Linked DNA regions of Canis lupus familiaris. The protein of the gene in region 1 purifies or fractionates together with the protein of each later gene. This does not show direct contact. Links are inferred from orthologs where the notes say so. Each region holds a gene or a part of one and is shown on either strand. Other genes may lie near its edges.

Region 1 (4,298 bases):
CTCAGCCAATTTATCCAGATGAAACCCTCAAGCTAATTTATTCCACTAGAATTCTGGCATTTGCTATCCATCCCTCCTACACATAGATCAAGTCTACTAGTCCATGCTGAGGATACCCTTGGGCCAGGTAACTGGCAGTGGTTAGTGACTTCATCCCTGATGCCCTCACCTCCCCTGTGATGTGAGTGTGCAAATGGGTATTGGTTAGCAACATTTTTTTTTCATTCACTCATTCAACAAATATTTATTAAGCACTTACTGTAGGCCAAGCACTGGGCTAGGTACCAGAGATAAAATAGTGAATAAAATAAATGAGATGCCCACATTTATGGAACCACAAATTTAAACAAATCTAGAACTTTCAGCTTCCAGCTTTCATTTCATCCAAACAGCTCAAAGGCTCCACCCTCGGGGATACCAGATCTGACAGAGATATTCCCTCATAAACAAATAACTCAAGGAGTGCCGGGTTGGCTCAGTCTGTTAAGCATCTTCCTTCAGCTCAGGACATGATCTTGGGATTGAGCCCCGAGTCTGGCTCCCACTTCCCCTGCTCAAGCTCACTCTCTCTCAAATAAATGAGTAAAATCTTTAAAACAAAAAAATTTTTAAAAAGAACAAATAACTCAAAATACAGCAGTTACAAGAAAAAATACTATATAGTACAATATTTTTTTAAGGCACATGGCTATTTGGAAGAAAAAGAATTCTCACAAGCTAAATGTCGCTAACTTATCCAGACAGTTGCAGGACAACCACTGAATGTTATTCCATCTCTCTAAGAACAAAGGCTATGACGGAGCTGAAACCTGTGTGTGCTGGGCTCAAAGGAGTGCTCCATATGAAAGTGACATTCTGGAAAGTAGACTTCCTCCTCTAAATTCAGAATACAGAAGCCTCTGATCAACAACAATCTTTCAAAAAGCTCTTATTTTAGAACTCCTGGATACTCCCTTCTGCCAATCTCCACCCCCAATTTACACTATGTTTAACCCAAATCAGATTCTTATTAAGATGACATTCTAGTAAATACCAGATAACCATAAAGCACTACAGAGAAAATCTGGCAAGATATTCTTTGCCTGTTATTATCTAGGTCCTGCCTATCATAGACTTTATTCAACCAGACAAGAAAGCTGTCTTAGTAATGTACCAGAACACCAGTTAGAGATCACTTTCCTTTTTCTTCCCCCCTGAAAAGCAACTAAGAAAATGGTAAGAAAGTTCATAGGGATTACTTTCTAGAGCAGCTATATTTATAGAATGCATCTTGAATCTGAACAGCTCAGTAAAAATTCCAGCTAGATGACAATAGGAAATACCACTGGAGCTCCAATACAGGAAGCCTGTAGCCAATGGATTCTAAGGAAACCTCTTGACCCAGGTCACAGACAATCCACAGTAAAGCACCACAAAAGAAGCCAAACCTTTACCAGTCACAGCCGTGTCCTTGTTTTCTCCCTCCCCAATCTTTCCCCAGCAGGCAAAACCAAGGCACTGCCCAAGATGCCCTAGCACTTCCCCTCCCGATGAAGAAACCTTTGCAACGCTGGGGTTTTCTTCTCAGGGTCGTTCAGAGGTTTAAGAGATCACATACGGAAAAGGCCATTCACGCCCCTACAAGGGAATCTCCTCGCCGCTTCCAGCCACCCCGAGAATACTGTGTTCACTTCTGAGCAGTGTAGGTAGATCGTCGCGCAAAGTTTTTCTCGGAGACTTTCATTTACTGGACTGCAGCCCCTCTGCATTTCAACTCCTCAGCAACAGCTCGCAGGCCACAGGCCTCTGGGCTGCCCTCACCCCGAGCCGACCACAGGGCCTCCGGGACCCACAGGGTTGTGTGGTCAGACGTCAAAGCAAGCGCAGGGAACGGCCTCACGCTCCAACAGGTCCCCTGCCCGCCGTCTGCTTGCGAGCGCCGCGGGTCCCGCAGGCCCGGGAGCCAGCCGCCGCCACCTCATCAAAGGCCAGCCCCGCGGCGCCGTCAGGGGCGCAGGCCACGCCCCCGCGCTGTCGGCGCGCCGGCCTCCGCCAGCAGGCGCGGCCCCGACGCTGCGCTTCCGCAGGCCGCGGGGCCCGCCACCGCCGCCCCCGCCCCCGCGGCCGGCCCCGCCTCTCGTCAGCCCCAGTTCGACACGAACGCCAGGGCCTCGCGCCCCGCGCCCCGCGCCGGCAGAATTCCGGGTGGCCGCCACTCAGGGCAGGCCGGGAGGGCCCGGCCGAGACTGTGGGGCCGGGGCGGCCCCTGGGCTCCGGCGGGCCGGGCCTCGGGCCGCCGAGCGAGCAGAGCAGCCTCCAGACACCCGCCTGCCGGGGTCCCGGCGCGTCGGGCCGCGGAAGCCGACCCTTCTGTCCGGTCGCCGAACCCGTCCCTCCCGCTCCCTCCCCTCGGCGCTCACCTCCCGACTCCGCTCCCCGCAGCCTGCGCTTCAGCTCCAGCTCGGGTTCGGGGCCGCGGACCAGAGAGACTCCCTCACAGCTGCGCTCCGCAGCGCAACCGAACTGCGGGCCCCGCCCTCGCGGCGTCCCGACCAACAGATGGGCGGTGCCGCACTGCCGTTGGGTTGCCATTGGATGGGGCGGCCAAGGTGGGCGGTGCCCCGGGAAGACGGCCGCTCGCTGCCATAGTCTCCAAGCCGGTCTCCTCCCCTTGAGCCTGTCCGGTTGAGACCTCTCGGAGGCATCGGTGTGTTGGGTCTCGGCTGGGGTTGGTCTCACTGTCCACCCCTCCGTCCAGTCCAGGTGCCCCCGATGAGTCCGCCGGGCGAAAGGAAGGCCTTCCGTCTCCTCTTGAAGGCGCCATGACAGTTCTGTTCCGACTAAAAGACAAAAGGAGCGAAAGACGTAGCCTCACACCGGGAGGAGCGCCCACCCACTTTCATTATTTGTAAGGGGCGAGACTGCGCAGGACACCAGTTCTTCAGCTTAAAATTTTTCCTGAACGTATCCTGAAAATTGCATAGCACCGACCTTTGCCAAAACTTTGCAGGAGGTTTTCACAGATGACTCGTTTGATCCGTATAAGAAATTGAAAGGCTAACTGACACATGCAAAAAACGAAATCAGAGGCATTAAGGCTATTCACCAAAAGTTGATAGGAGCCAAATCTAGCATCCAAACAGTAAGATTTATCAAAGGCTTCCTTGAAAAGATGTTTGGAAAGAATTTGGATTGACTTCAAGGAAGTGAAAGGGAAAGATCCGGGGTGAGCCCATTGGTCTGCGAAAACTAAACGCTGAGCCTGAGCGGTAGAAATTCGCTCTGCCATTAGACGTGTATTTTGAAGGGAGGAGGATGAATCGGTTTTCAGAACTTGGCAATGCGATAATCACTAAATTTCACTGTCCTTAAAGGGTATCTCTTAATCCTCTTAACTAATGTAAAGAAGAATATATGGCAAAAGCCCTCTCGTTTTCTTATCTCTTCATCTCAAAATACTTTTGCAACCAATCTTTCATCCTTGATTCTTTTACGTTTCAGAGGGCTCACACATTCTTTTAGAAATCTGATGAAAGTTATGGATCTTGTTTTGGATATTTAGGAAATGAATTTGTCCCCTAAATTTAGCATATAATTTCAAAAGACTGAAGTTAAAAATCTTTTTGTTCTAATCTTCAAAGGAAGGTTGTTTCTCCCTTTCTCCAGGTTAACCCTTTCTCCTTGTGGGCTCCAAGGCAATTGGGGCACCTGCTCCCCTATAAACATTCATTAAATATCAGTTAATATTATTATAGTTTCCCATTCTCTTCTGTTTGGACCTTATCATTATTAACCTTTCCTTTTTAACTAACTCCTTCTTTCAAATATGCATAGAGGACCCATTGGCGTCCTCCAGCTCTCATTTTATTTCTAACTTTTCATGTTTAAACAGCTCAAACACTGCATTTTCGCCACCTCATTTTATTCTGCTTTAATAAAATTTATTGTAAACAATATTTCAAAAATATTTATGTAATATCTTCTATGTGCTATGGTCCACTGTTTCAATTGCCTTATGACATATTAACTCATTTAATCCTTACAGGAATCCTATGGAATATTGTGAATTAACAATTGCTATAGAATGTGAAAATCTCTTGTAATCCTATTTCAACAGAAGAATTAAGATTTTGATGTATGTATCCATTTTTCTGTGCATGTATTAATATATGTGCATATAATTTAAAATGAAAGCAAGCTGATAATACATAATCTTTTTCAAATTACTCCTTGTTTTTCTTTTTTTTTTAAGATTTTATTTATTCATGAGAGACACAGGCAGAGGGAGAAGCAGGTGCCATGCAGGAAGCAGGAAGCCC
Region 2 (3,961 bases), on another chromosome or scaffold:
CATACCTCCCTTTCTATAGTAAAACAAAACAAAACAAAACAAAAAACTGATGGATGATAACACACCTTTTGCTTTAAAAAAAAAGGGGGGGGGGTCTTAACGATGTCACTGGGAAGCCTCCTGACCTTCTATGTTCTTTTATTAAAAAGGCTGGAGGACGATATGATCTTCAAAGCCAGACATGACATTTCACCACTCTCTCCAGCCTTTGCAGACACACTGGAGGAGATTCCTTACATGGATCTATCCCTATTATACGACCTCTGGTTTTCCAGAATGGGAAACTTCTAATTGTATGTCCTGGTCTCCAAACTCACACTGACAAAACTCTGCCATAAGCGTTCAGGTGTGATTGTTACCTAAGAAAATGCTATGGGGCATAATCTACCAGGTACCACCTGTAAATCGAGAAAATTAAGCTTAAACCCATCTTTCTGAATGAACAAACGTTGTATCCTTATCCAATTCAATGCTCTTAAATGACTGTGACAAGACCAATTCTCTCATCACACACCTTTACATTAGCAATCTAAAACTAACGCCTTTTCAAAAACTGACAAATCAATCTGACTAAAAACGCAATTTGTCTATTTAAAAAATGCTAAGGGCCTCAAACTGCGGGGGGGGGGGGGGCGAAGAACTCTTAAGTTGCATTCTAAACTAGTGTTTGGTCAAGGGTTCCTATCAAGTATTTTAAGGAAGATTTCCATACCTGTCTTCATCGCCATCCACGGGAATAGCTATGCTGAACACAGAGGTGGCGAGACTGTTCATAGGTGTTAACTGAAGGGGGTTGGCCAGGGCATCTGCAACAGGAGGCTTCACGACAGGCTTAGTTTCAGCAATGAGAGAAAGTGGTGGTTGAGGTAGGGGTTCTGATTTTCTTCTGGTATCGTCGGCTTGCCCGACCAAAGGCTGGGTCTGAGTCTGGAACTGGCTTAGGTCAGCCTGCGGTAGACTCGTCGGTGCACTGGGTGTGCCTGGCGCTAAGGGCAGCCCACCGTGCGGGATTACGCTGCTGCTCCGGCTGACGGGCGTATGGCTGCTCAGCTGCTGCGACTGGGCCAGCGGCGCGGGGACATTTGGCATAGTAATGGAGGTGGTAGACGCACTAGGCACGCTTGGAGCGGGCGCGGCTGCAGGCACGTTTGGAACTCCGGGTAGAACGGCGTGGGGGCCGCCGGGCACGGCTGCCGGCGCCCCACTGCCACCCATCTGCGGCGGAGGCACGGACTGGGGCTGCACGGTCCCAGGGGGGACCAGGCCCGGCTGCACCGCGCATCCAAGAGCAGCCAGGGGCACTCCGGCCGGCTGACCGGGCGCCGCCTGTCCTCCGGGCGCGGGTCCCGGCCCCGGGGCCACGGCCTCGCCGGGCAGGGAAGCCACGCCCATTATCTGCGCCCCCACCGCGGCGGCAGTCGGGCCGGCGCCCACGGGAAGGCTCGCTCCGGCGCCGGTGGACGAGGGCTGCGCGGGGCTTGGCGGCTGCAGGCCGGCCACGTGCTGCTGTAGGTACTCACTCTGCCCCGCGGGCTGGACTGGCAGCAAATGCCCGGGCGGTAGCTGAGGCTGGGGGTACGCGAACGGCTGGGGCTGCTGCGTCGCAGGAGCGCCGACCGCGGGGCCCGGCTGCTGCGGCAGGGTTACATTCGTCAGCGGCAGCCCTTGTCCACTGGGGCCCTGCGGGAGGACGCCGGGGCCGGTTCCCTGGGGCTGGCTTGGCTGCGGGGCCGCGATCATTGGCTGTGGCCCGGCCGCGGCTCCCGGGAACGGCGGCACCGGAGCCGCGCTTTGAACCACAGCCCCACCTACGGGCGGCGGTGGCTGTGGCTGCCCAACGCCAAAACTCTGCGGCTGGGCCGGGGCGGGCTGGCTCATTTTCTCCGACGGGGGTAGCTGTGACACAGCAGTCAGGGAACTGTCAGTTCCCGAGTCGGGCCCGTGCGCCCCCGGCACGGAGGCCACCACCACCACCACCGACCCTCCGGTGGCGCCCAGGCCGCTGTCCCGCTCCGCAGTCTGGTCGAAAGTACTGCTGTGCCTAATGCAATCCCCGGACCTGGTCAGGACGCTGCTGTCTGAATCCCGCTCATAGTATTCCATGCACGTCCATCGGCCGCGTCGGTAGGGCTCCCCGCTCCCGTGGTCCAGCTTGATGACTCGAAAACGGGAACTGCAAGTGGTGGGGGGCTGTGCTGGGGCCGCAGTCCCAGGCCCGGCGGACGAGCCCGCCGCCGGGGGGGCGCCCGGTGCCCCCGCCGAGGGGGCCGCCGGGGTACCGGCCAGCGCGCCGGCCACGCTCCGGGCCGCCGCGGCTCCTCCTCCGTTGGCGGGAGCCGCCGCCGCGGCCGCCAGCTGTCCGTCCAGCAGGAGGTTCGGGGACACGGTCCCGGGAGTCTCCGCATCCCCAACATTGTTGAGCGTCTCTTCGGAGGAGCTGCGCTCGCAGACCTCCTCGGGGCCGTAGTCGGTGGCCCGAGACACGTCGAAGATCTCGGAGGACACGTCCTCTGTGCGCGACTCGTCCGGGTCGTCCAGGCTCTCGGTGTCCTCGGTGATGCTAGTGGCCACCTGGGCGGTGGTGACACTGGTGATCTGGAAGCAGCTCTTCTTCTTGGCCGGCATCTTGGACATGGTGAGGGAGGCCGGCGGGGGGCGGAGAGGCGCGCCGGCTCCTCCGCGGTGTGGCCGGAAACCGGCAAGGGGGGGCCCCCAGGAGGCAAAGTCCGAGTCCGCGCTGGGGTCGGGGAGGCCGGGCGGCCGCTGCTCAGAGCCCCCGGCCGCTCGGGGCGCCGGCCGCTCCGGGACGCATCCCTCCGCGCCGCTTCCTCCGGCTCTGCCCCCCGACGCCCTCGCGCGGCCGCTCCTCCTTCCTCGTCGCCTCCCGCAGCCGCGGCGCCTCAATTCAATCCCCTCGGCGGCGGCGCGGGCGCGGGCGCGAGGGCAGGGGCGGGCGGCCGGCTTCCTGCTCCCGGCGCCGGGGCCGCCGTGGTCGGCGCAGCTCGGCGCTCGGCGCGGTCCGCAGGCCTCGGCCGGGGGCGGGAGGGCGGCGGGAGGGCGGCGGGGCGGCGGCGGCGGCGGCGGCGGCGCGAGGGGCGGCGTGAGGGGCGGCGCGGCCCCGCTCGGGCTCGTCAGCGCCGGGAAGCAGGGGAAGCGGCGGCGAGTCCGGAGCCGGGGAGTCCGGATTCCGGCCGGAGCCGCGGGCTGGGGCGGGCTGGGGCGGGCTGAAGGTCCGCGGGCGGCCCCCTCCTCCCCGGCGTCAGCCGGAGCTCAGCCCCGGGGCCATGTCGGCCGTCTCCGGCGGAAGCCCGCTCCGGGGGAGGGAGGGAAGGCCGGCGCGGTCCTCCCCTCACGGGGGAGCCACCCCGCGGGCGGCGGCGACGGCGGCGGCGGCGGCCTCCCCGCGCGGCTCCTGAGAAGACTGAGGGGCGGCGGCGGCGGCGGCGAGCGGAGACGCTCCGGCTGCGTGAGGTAGCGAGCGGCGGGAGCTTCCTCGGCTCCTCCTCGGTGCGCCGGGTCGGCGGACCCCGGAGAAACTGAAAATTCAAACTGCTCAAGCGGCGGCTGCAGCTCCCTCCCCTCGGCCAAGATGGGGCTGAAATGGCCGCGCCAGGGATGCTGGGAGGAGCAGCAGCCCCGCTGCCGCCGCCGCCGCCTCTGTCGACTAAAATGCCGCCGCTGCCGCAGCCACCGCCAGCGCCGCAGCCGCCGCCGTTCCGTGACGCGCCGGCGTCGTGACGTCAGCGCCCCGCCCCCTCCGGTTTCCTGCAGTTTCGCGTGGAGGCTTGGGGAGGGGAGGGGAGGGGAAGGGTGGGCGGGGCTAAAGGTTTAAAAAAATAAAAAAGGGAGCTTTTTTTTTAAATTTAAATTTTTTTTTTTTTTTTTTTTTGAATTGAGCATTTACGCTTCAGGTCTTTAGGAGTTGAAGAGCGCAAAGCCTCCTAAATGCGCAGCCTGGAGA

The links.
Region 2: the proteins of NRBP1 (region 1) and TSC22D2 purify together in Homo sapiens (affinity purification with mass spectrometry; 5 studies listed by BioGRID and IntAct, with this or other methods). This does not show direct contact. The link is inferred for Canis lupus familiaris from reciprocal best matches to the Homo sapiens genes NRBP1 and TSC22D2.

Annotation. Positions count from the first base shown.
Region 1 is NC_049238.1:21,440,636-21,444,933, reverse strand, and holds the start of NRBP1 (nuclear receptor-binding protein), read right to left. Parts: upstream 2,805-4,298; 5' UTR 2,572-2,804; coding exon 2,400-2,571; exon of another isoform or gene 2,298-2,399; intron 1,937-2,297; exon of another isoform or gene 1,801-1,936; intron 1,775-1,800; exon of another isoform or gene 1,749-1,774; coding exon of another isoform or gene 1,598-1,748; exon of another isoform or gene 1,540-1,597; intron 1-1,539. UniProt on the Homo sapiens protein: Required for embryonic development. Plays a role in intestinal epithelial cell fate and proliferation, thereby involved in the architectural development of the intestine potentially via the regulation of Wnt-responsive genes.
Region 2 is NC_049244.1:45,606,793-45,610,753, reverse strand, and holds the start of TSC22D2 (TSC22 domain family protein 2), read right to left. Parts: upstream 2,804-3,961; 5' UTR 2,635-2,803; coding exon 713-2,634; intron 1-712. UniProt on the Homo sapiens protein: Reduces the level of nuclear PKM isoform M2 which results in repression of cyclin CCND1 transcription and reduced cell growth.